Linked DNA regions of Rattus norvegicus. The protein of the gene in region 1 interacts with the protein of each later gene in a pairwise test. Links are inferred from orthologs where the notes say so. Each region holds a gene or a part of one and is shown on either strand. Other genes may lie near its edges. The genes, in order: Fkbp8 and Zfyve27.

The links.
Region 2: the proteins of Fkbp8 (region 1) and Zfyve27 interact in binary tests that used the Homo sapiens proteins (3 or more experiments, as listed by UniProt). The link is inferred for Rattus norvegicus from reciprocal best matches to the Homo sapiens genes FKBP8 and ZFYVE27.

What each region holds. Positions count from the first base shown.
Region 1 is NC_086034.1:18,933,728-18,938,279, forward strand, and holds the start of Fkbp8 (peptidyl-prolyl cis-trans isomerase FKBP8), read right to left. Parts: upstream 2,817-4,552; 5' UTR 2,765-2,816; exon of another isoform or gene 2,496-2,764; intron 1,250-2,495; 5' UTR 1,225-1,249; coding exon 963-1,224; intron 1-962. Other genes in the region: Kxd1 (kxDL motif-containing protein 1), read left to right, coding at 2,850-2,957. UniProt on the Homo sapiens protein: Constitutively inactive PPiase, which becomes active when bound to calmodulin and calcium. Seems to act as a chaperone for BCL2, targets it to the mitochondria and modulates its phosphorylation state.
Region 2 is NC_086019.1:250,927,771-250,932,166, reverse strand, and holds the start of Zfyve27 (protrudin), read right to left. Parts: upstream 3,037-4,396; 5' UTR 2,852-3,036; intron 2,137-2,851; 5' UTR 2,136-2,136; coding exon 1,939-2,135; intron 1-1,938. UniProt on the Homo sapiens protein: Key regulator of RAB11-dependent vesicular trafficking during neurite extension through polarized membrane transport. Promotes axonal elongation and contributes to the establishment of neuronal cell polarity.

The DNA.
Region 1 (4,552 bases):
GTTTTTTGTTTTTTTGTTTTTTTTAATTTCATGTCTATGTGCATTCTGCCTGCATGGGTGCAGTGCTGACAGAGTCCAGAAGAGGGTGCCATATTCACGCAAACTGGAGTTACACACAACTGTGAATGCAGGTGCTGGGGATTGAACACACAACCTCTAGAAAAGCAATCGGTGCTCTTAACCATTAAGCCACCTCTCCAGCTCCGGCTGGTCAGGGTTTTAAGAAACCCTTACTAGAACTCCCTAGTGAGAGGTTAGGGGTAAGCCCCAGTGGTAGAGCCTCTGCCTTCCATTCCCTAGCACCCTAGCACCCCTCCAAAAAAAAAAAAAAAATTTAAAATTAAAAAAAAGAAAAGAAAAGAAACACAAAAATCCTGCTGGCACTATCTAGAGAAGGGATTTTAGGAGAGAAAATGAATGTTGTGGAACAAGAGGAGGGTGATCAGAACCTGATGCTCTGTTGGGCTGTGCCAGTTTTTAAGACTCTGTCACACATCTACACAAATGCTTAGGGAAGATGTAGTGGAAGTTGTCTTAGAGCTGCTGGCACCCAGTGCAAAGGCTGTGTGGCTCCAAGAAGGTGACTCAGCCTCTCTGAGCTGCTGTTTCCAACACTGGGGGTAGAAAGCAACCTGTTACAGATTGTGTGAGCAAGGCAAGGTATGAGCCAGCAAACACACTGGTATCAAGCCATCTCGGAAGCCAGCCACACAGCACAGGCCTGTGAGACCAGCGAGCCTGAGACAATGAGTCAGGAAGATCCAAAGTTCAGACCCAGCTTGGACTATAGTGTGAGTTCAAGGCCAGCCTGGGTTTCACAGTAAGGTTATTTCAAAATAAACAAATAAAAATCAGCCACTGATATCCTAATGTCACTTCCAACCCACACAGAAGGGGAAACAAAGCTCAAGAGACCAGAAATCCCTGGGTCAAGGTGCCTCTGACCAACCCAGCACACTTACCCAGAATGTCCAGCCACTCTTCCGGGGCGGGGGCTGGGGCTGGCTCAGGCTCTGTGGCTGCCAGGAACTCCCGAGCTAGGGCTCCAGGCTGCTCAGCCTCCTCCACCGTAGGCTGTCCCATATCCTCTAGTGGTGGCAACCCACTTAGGTCATCTTCCTCCTCTGCATCATCAACCCCATCAAGCACCTCAAAGCCCTCCAGGAGTGGGGCCCCACAAAGTAGCTGGGCAGCAGGCTCAGAGGGCTCGGCCCAAGACGCCATGCTGCTGGGGGATCAGGAACTGGCCCTAGGGGAACAGTTAAGCATGACAGTGATAACCCCATCTAGGAAGGCCCTCTAACTCTCCTAAGCTCCAGTTCCCTACAACTGGCATCCCTGGAGTATATCAGCAACACCAGCCCTTGCATTCATCATGTACATACTGGGCACCCTACCAACCTGGCTTGTTGAAAGAAGGGTGCAGAGACCTCACACTCTGAGCCACAAACTACAGCTGGTTTAGCTGTTATTAGAAGTAATTAGCATGGAATCTTTATAAACAAGAACGTAGGAAAACCATAGCTTACACAAAAAAGACCCAACAGGCACAGAAAGACAAAGCCACTTGGTCAAGGTCAGAAATCAAGCCAATTAGCAGTAGGGCCAAGATTTAGAAGTTACTGAACTGAATGTCAAGAAAAGGGTGTTGGAGTTACTGAGGCAGTGGGGACAGTCACTGAGGCCTTGGGACAGCTGTTTGTTTGCTTGTTTTTTCTTAAACTTTTACTAATTCCTTTCCACAAACTGGGACAGCTGTTTTTATAACTTCTGGATCTCTTGAGAAAAGTGAATTTTTGTAAAGGTCCTTGCCTCTGGCTACCTTATCTGCTAAAGGCTCCAGCAATAAAGAATTGGTGCCAGATACTTAATGTCTCTTGTTCCGTACCCTGAAGGTACTGAATCTTCCAACAACAGGGACCATGGCTCCAACCTGCCTCTATTATCAAGCCTGCTTCCAGCTTTTAATCACAGTAGGGCACTGGGGACATAGCTCAGGCAATAGGGCACTTGTCTACCAAGCACAAAACCCATGGTTCTATTCCCAGCACTGCAGAAACCAGGCATCAGCAAATGTCTTTCATCCCAGCAATAGGGAGGTGGAGGAAGGATGATCAGGTATTCAAGGCCATGGAATTCATGAATTACATGACACCCTGTCTCCAGAAATTTAAAGCATAAGCTAAGGTTGTAATTCGTTGGAAGAGCGTTCTCCTACCAAGCACACCGCTTTAGAATCAGCACCCTTGTAAAACCTGGTGTGGCAGTGCTCGCCTGTCATCCAGCTCTTGGGAGCTTGAGACAGGAAGGCCTGGAGTTCAAGGCCAGCCTGAGCTACACAGCCACTTGGAAGACTGAGTTAGAATACATGAGACCCAGTCTCAAAATTAAATGAAAACGAAAGAGTAGTGGGAACACCAATATTGAATCTTGCACCATCTCGCTGGCCCCAGGCCTCTCTACGGAGGATCCCCAACCCAGCTGCAGAACCGTACATCCTGTCAGGCCCTCTCCTTAAGCTCCAGGAAGCCCCGGAGCTCCGCGTCCCTGCCCTGCGACCCTCACCTGCGGGGCTCCTTCCGGGATCCGGCCCCGACCGGAGACCCTCCCACCCCGAGCCCCCACAATGCCCCGCGCGCCCCGCACCCCAACGCCGCCCCGCGCCCGGTCGACACTACCACCCTGGGAGGCCCCGGTCCCCGCAGACTCGGGAGGCCTCGGCCCCGGGAGCCTCGGCCTCCTCGCTACGCTCCGTCTCACGTGCCTGCGGCTTGGGGACCCCGCTTGGGGTCCTGTGCCCCCCTCCCCACCCCCAGTCGCGGCCGCCGCGCCTCGGGAAACAGCTTCAGATGCGCAGCCCCGCCCCCGCGTGCCCATTGGCTGGTCACGCCGCGGCTGCCACGCTTATTGGCTTCTGCACACGTCTGTCTCGCGCCCTGGACACCGCCTTTTTCCTGGTAAGCTCCGCTGCCCGTTCTTAAAGGGGCTCTAGCCTCTGGGTGGAGAGGCTGTAGTGATTAGGGGGTGGGAACGCACTTGGTTGAGCCTCAGGAGACGAAGGTAGCAGCACGTCCTGATTTTAGTTTACACCGTGTCGGGCTTCCTCCTGTTCACATACGAATTAGAAATAAACAAGAAACACCGCAGCTCATGAGCGGCCAGTTTGGGGCTCTTTAGAAAACAGTAATTTTTCATAATTTTACTTAACACTTCATTTCATGTCCTCTTCCCCCCACCCCCTCTGTTCTCCTGGGGCGTGGGGAGCTCTGTAGTCCTGGCTGTCCTGGATCAGCACATATACCAGATGAGGCTGGCCTTGAACTCAGACATCATACTGCCTCTGCCTGCTACTGGGATTAAAGGTGTGTGCCACCACACCGGTCTCAATTCTTTTATTATAGTATTCTCTCTTTTTTTTAAGTTTATCATTTTTATTAATTAACAGTTGTTACATAATACACACACACATAAATATATCCATATACATATATATTCCTAGATACAAGTTGTTTAGTCTGTGTGATGCCACTTCTATGCATGTGTTCAGGGCTGACCATTTGGTATTGGATGTGTTTTTCCATGGAGAAGAGGAATTCTCCCACTCTCAGCACCCCATAGTATTCTCTTTTGTCTCACGTTTTATATTGTCTTTTAGTTAGCCAGGGTCTGACCATGTAGCACAAGCGGGCAGCAATCTTCCTGCCTCAACTTCCTGATTGCTGGGAGCCAACACTTCTGACTACAAGGTGTTTAGCTTGTTGTGAGGTTTCGGGGGGTCTTGTGTGACTGCTTACTAAACTACATCGAAGGTAGGGACGTGGTGAGGAAGCCAGGGAGGGCCCTTGCCTGTCATCTCAGCATTTGATAAGTGGGCGTCAGAGGATCAGAATTCACACTGTCTAAAAGAATAGTAGGTCAAAGCTGAGGGACAGTGACAAGTCCAAGTGGACACTCTACGGCCCCCAGCCACTATGTTCTAGTTTCACGATAGTCACCTGCAGCATACAGGTGTTCAGTAAGTGCCTGCTTTCCCAGAAAGCTCCGCCAGAAGTGCTAGATACCAGAGAGAAGGCAGGCACCTCTCACCAGATAGTGCTCATCCACTCTCCAGAGCTGTTTTATGCCCTCCCTGGGCTGTCCCCTTTCAAGAATGATTGTGTAATTCTTTCACTTGATATCAAAGAAACCATGGGCTAGTTCCAGTTCTGAGGGCTTTGAACCTGACCATATCTGAAACCCAGTGGGTTGTTTTTTGTTGTTCTTTGGTTCTTAGTACTTGGAATGGATTCTGGGGCCTTTGCACATGTTAAGCTGCTGCTCAGTTGAGCAGTGCAGACCTCAGTGTCTTTTTTTGTTTGTTTTTACACGTGGGAATACATACATACATACATACACTTACACATCTATATGGAACTTGCTCCCAGATACACAAGGGAATGCCAAAAGACAATTTGCAAGAATGAGTTCTGTCCTAACATGTTGGTTCTGTAGACTGAGGGAGCTCAGGTCTGTAAGGTGCTTGTGCCACTGGCCCCCGCCCCACCATGTAACT
Region 2 (4,396 bases), on another chromosome or scaffold:
TCTTGGTGTAATGCACGTTAAGGGCAAATATTTCCTTTTGAAAAGAAAGTCTTTAGCTTGAATGAAATCCAGTTTTTAGTCTAACTTCCAGTTAAAGAGCTATATATAACTAGCCAGACAATTCTCAGAAGGAAATTCTCCAGGGTAGTGAGTCCAGCCACTTCAGAAAACCAGTACATGAAACAAGAGCCTGGTTTAGTTTGAAAAAGACTTATAGGATATAAAAACCACAAAAAATACAGTGCTGGATAGGAACCTGACAGGAGATGCAAAACAAGTGTCCGTGACATCCTTGGAAAAAATTGGAAAGTGGGAAATGACCAGAGAAAGATATCAAAGAATTACTTTTAACTAAGTATAACATGACTTTGATGATATCAAATGCCTTTATTAAAAAACATAAACTGGGGCTGGAGAGATGGCTCAGTGGTTAAGAGCACTGACTGCTCTTCCAGAGGTCCTGAGTTCAATTCCCAGTAACCACATGGTGGTTCATGACCATCTGTAATGAGATCTGATGCCCTCTTCTGATGTGTCTGAAGACAGCTACAGTGTATCCATATATATAAAATAAGTAAATACATTAAAAAAAATAAACTGAAGTAATCAGAAGTGCAAAGCCATTTATTTGCAATTAAAGCTATCTTTCTGTTCTGTTCTTTTTTGGGGAGAAGGGGGTGTTAAATAGCTCAGGCTGGCCCCAAACTTGCTACGGAGTGAAAGATGATTTTTGAACATCTGATCCTCCTGTCTCTACCTCCTAAATTCTGGGATTATAGGCATATTCTCAGATAAAATACTTTTTAACATAAATAAAGCCAGGAGATGAAGAGGTGATTCATTGGTTAAGACCCAGGTTCAGTTCCCAGCACCCCCACGGCAGGTCAAACCATATGTAACTCCAGTTCCAGGTGATCTGACAACCTCTCCTGGTCTCTGAGGACACCAAACAAACACATGGTACACAGAAATATATACAGATAATAAAGCCATACACGTAAAATCTAAAAACGTAGATAAATCACTTAAGGAAAATAATTTTTAATGTAAAAAACACAGGCTAGGCATGGTGGTGCCCTTAATCACAGCACAGCAGACAGTGGCAGTCAGACCTCTGTGTCTTCCAGGACAGCCAGGGATGCACAATGAGACCATGTTTCAGAAAACAAACAAACACCAAACATTTTTTTAAGCAAGTTGGTCCTGGTACTTGTGAGTCTGAAACAGAACATTTGTTGTAAGTCTTCAAGCAGCCTGAACTACGAGTTTCAGACTACCGTCAACAAAAGGAAAAGTTAAGGAGCCTAGAAGAAAATTACAGAGGATAAAATGAAGCAAAATAGGAAAAAATTTGAGAACCATAATCCTAAATAACAAATAAAAATGGCATCTAGTTTTTTCAAAGGTATTTGTAGTTGAGGTTTGTTTAAAATTATAACTTGACGGTGAGATAGCTTAGCCAGTAGAGTGCTTGCTGCCAAGCCTGAGTTTGATCCCTAGAATGCACCATGGAAGGAGAACCAACTCCCAAAAGCTGCCCTCTGACCTGCACGCAATGCCACATGCATACAAAATAATAAAACCAGGATTTTAAGATTAATTATGCTAATATTAGGAGAGAAGGGGGTGGGGGGACGGACCAGAGTCTGCTCTAAGCTATACCAGGCCAATGTCCAAGGCTTTCTGACAGTACCTAAGAGGAGCTTATCCAACCACAGAGTCCTGAGGAAGACCAAGTGGTTCCCAGATCCCACCTTTCCTGCACAGAGCTAGAACACAACTAGCTCTGAATAAGTCTAGAGGTCAGACAACTAGTCTCACCAGAACTAGTCATCACTGGAGCAGAAAGGACAGCCCGACTACTGCCAACTGGCCAGAACTGCTAAAGACCAGGGAGACAAGAGAGCCCAAAGGAAGAACAACCCCTGAAATCTGTACCTTAGCAAGTATCGAACACCGTCACCTGCATCCTTCAGGGGTTCCAGGTAGATCTCCAGCCTCTTGTAGGACAGAACCAGGTTGAAAAGATCAAACGCTGTTGACTTGGTAGGGGCAGGTGAACACTCAGAGAGAACCTCAGGCATCACGCTGGGGCTCGCCTCTGGTCCACTCAGGTCCCGATCCGAAGACTGCATTCTGTAATCGTAATTCCCCACACTCACAATGCATGTCCAGTCTTCAAACACATTTCCCCTTGCATCAACCATGTGAGGTAAGCACCAATACCCGTTTCACACGGAAAGAAACTTTGTTCCTTCTGAAGAACAGCAGAGTGAAGGGGATACCTTCGATATAAAGCCTGTTCTTCACGAGCCCCTCCAACGCTCTTTTCCCTCACAGACTTTTCAAGAGCATACAAGCCATTAATTGTTGAAGGGAGGTAATTGGTAATCCCAAGAGAAAAGATGTCCTGTGATATCTTTCTCCTCTCTTTTCCCCTACTCATCCTTCAGGTGTCAGGGTTAGGGGACCATCTTGCTCTGGGACGTCTTTATGAACGCGCTAGTGTACACTGGGTGACCCTTACCAGGGCTCCCAAAGGTTCATGAATTTTTCCTAACAACACTCTTGTCACGCTCTTAACCCTGGCTCCTTTCATCACTTGGAAAGGAGTCCACTGGACCCCAAACTCTCGATAGAACGTGCTAGGAAGAAAGCAAACCCGGGCTAGCGCGAGACAGGCTCAGCAGGTCAATGCGGACAGAGGCCTCGACCACCATCACCTCCCAGGCGGCGCAAGGCAGGCCACGCCTAAGATCGCTGTGCCAGCAGGTGGCGGTCCCCTCCCGACGGGAGCACCAGGCTCTGTAAATAAATACAGTGGGGCTGGGGCGTGATGGTCGTCACCTACCCGGACACTGTCCCAGGAATGGGAGGGGCAGGGGCGCCCAAGGGGACAGAAGGGCCACCAAGCCCGGGAGCGGCCCCTCAGGCCCGCCCCACCCCACGCCGCGCCACCTCCCACAGACGCTCCGAAATCGCAAGTCCACCAGAGAACAGTCTGCCCCACCACCGCCGTCGCTTCCGGGACGCGACTCACTCTGCGGTGGCGCGCCCGTGACGTCACCTCGCCCGTCCCGCCTTGGGTCGGGCCTCCGAGTTTAGCCCCTCCCACCCAAGCGCAGGTGATCGAGCTCGTCGATACTGCGCCTGCGCACTTTTCCCCTCTGTGGCTAATTTCTGGTTAACTCCGTCCCTGCCATACAAGAGATGACTCACTTTTAATGACCCGGAAACCTAGGACCTAATTCCTGGGAGCCAGCCTAGCTCCGGAACATTACAGCAAGGACAGTTACAGAGCCTAGCGTGGTGACGCACTTCTTGTAACCACAGCCTTTGAGTTTCTGAGGCTGGAGGCTAGTTCAAGGCCAGCCTTGGCTATGGGAGCTCCTGGCTCAAAAACAAAAACAAAAACAAAAAAGGGTAGGGGTGGGGGTGGAGAAGGATAAAAAAGAAAGAAAATCTGGATAAAAACTGGATAAAAATCTGGATAAAAAAGAGGCTAGGGAAGGCAGAAAACACATCTTGTATGTCAGGTGCCTAGCAGAGACAGACCGGTGGTTCCTTGGTTCCTAACTCTTCTTCACATCTTGTGACCCAGCTGGTGTCCCTTAAAACACACTTCCCATGGGTTTGCATTAACCAACAGCCAGGCAGTACAGTAAGCTTTGTGTTCACATTATCTCATCTGTTCCTCCTTCAATAACCAACCCTGTTGGGGTTATCACCATTTCACGGATGAGGAATTGTAGTCATGGTAAGTAACTTCTTTAATGTCACAGCACATAAACCTCTTGGAACTGGGATTTGAGCCAAATATATCACTGGATGCCAGTAACCCCAGCCATACCACCGCCCACATGAGTCTGCAACTACTGGCTTCATCTATCCTGCTGTTTGTTCTCTTTCAAGTGCCTCAGCCAACTGAACCCCGTTTTTACCTGCAACGGCCCTGGACTCCTGCCAACTCCTCAAATTGCTTGTCACACCTGCCTGCCCGGCTTCTTGCTTCCATCCAAAGGCAAGCAAACCAACTGTCTTAGCAGGACTCAGGTGTGAGCAGCCAGGGAAGGCCGCTCAACCGACAATAACCACTCCTCTGAACCACCCCAAAGCTTCCCTGACATCCGTCCAGCATCTCTTTTTCAGAGAAACAGGCACACCTGCTCTGCCAGTCAGGACTCAGCTGTACGGGGAATCTCAACTCTTCCCACTTCCTTAAGGCTGGTCATTGTCCCACAGGCTCTGAAATCTTTACTCTTTTTTTTTTTTTTTAATTTTTTAAGATTTATTTATTTGTAAGTACATTGTAGCTGTCTTCAGACCAGAAGAGGGCATCAGATCTCACTACAGATGGTTGTGAGCCACCATGTGGTTGCTGGGATTTGAACTCAGG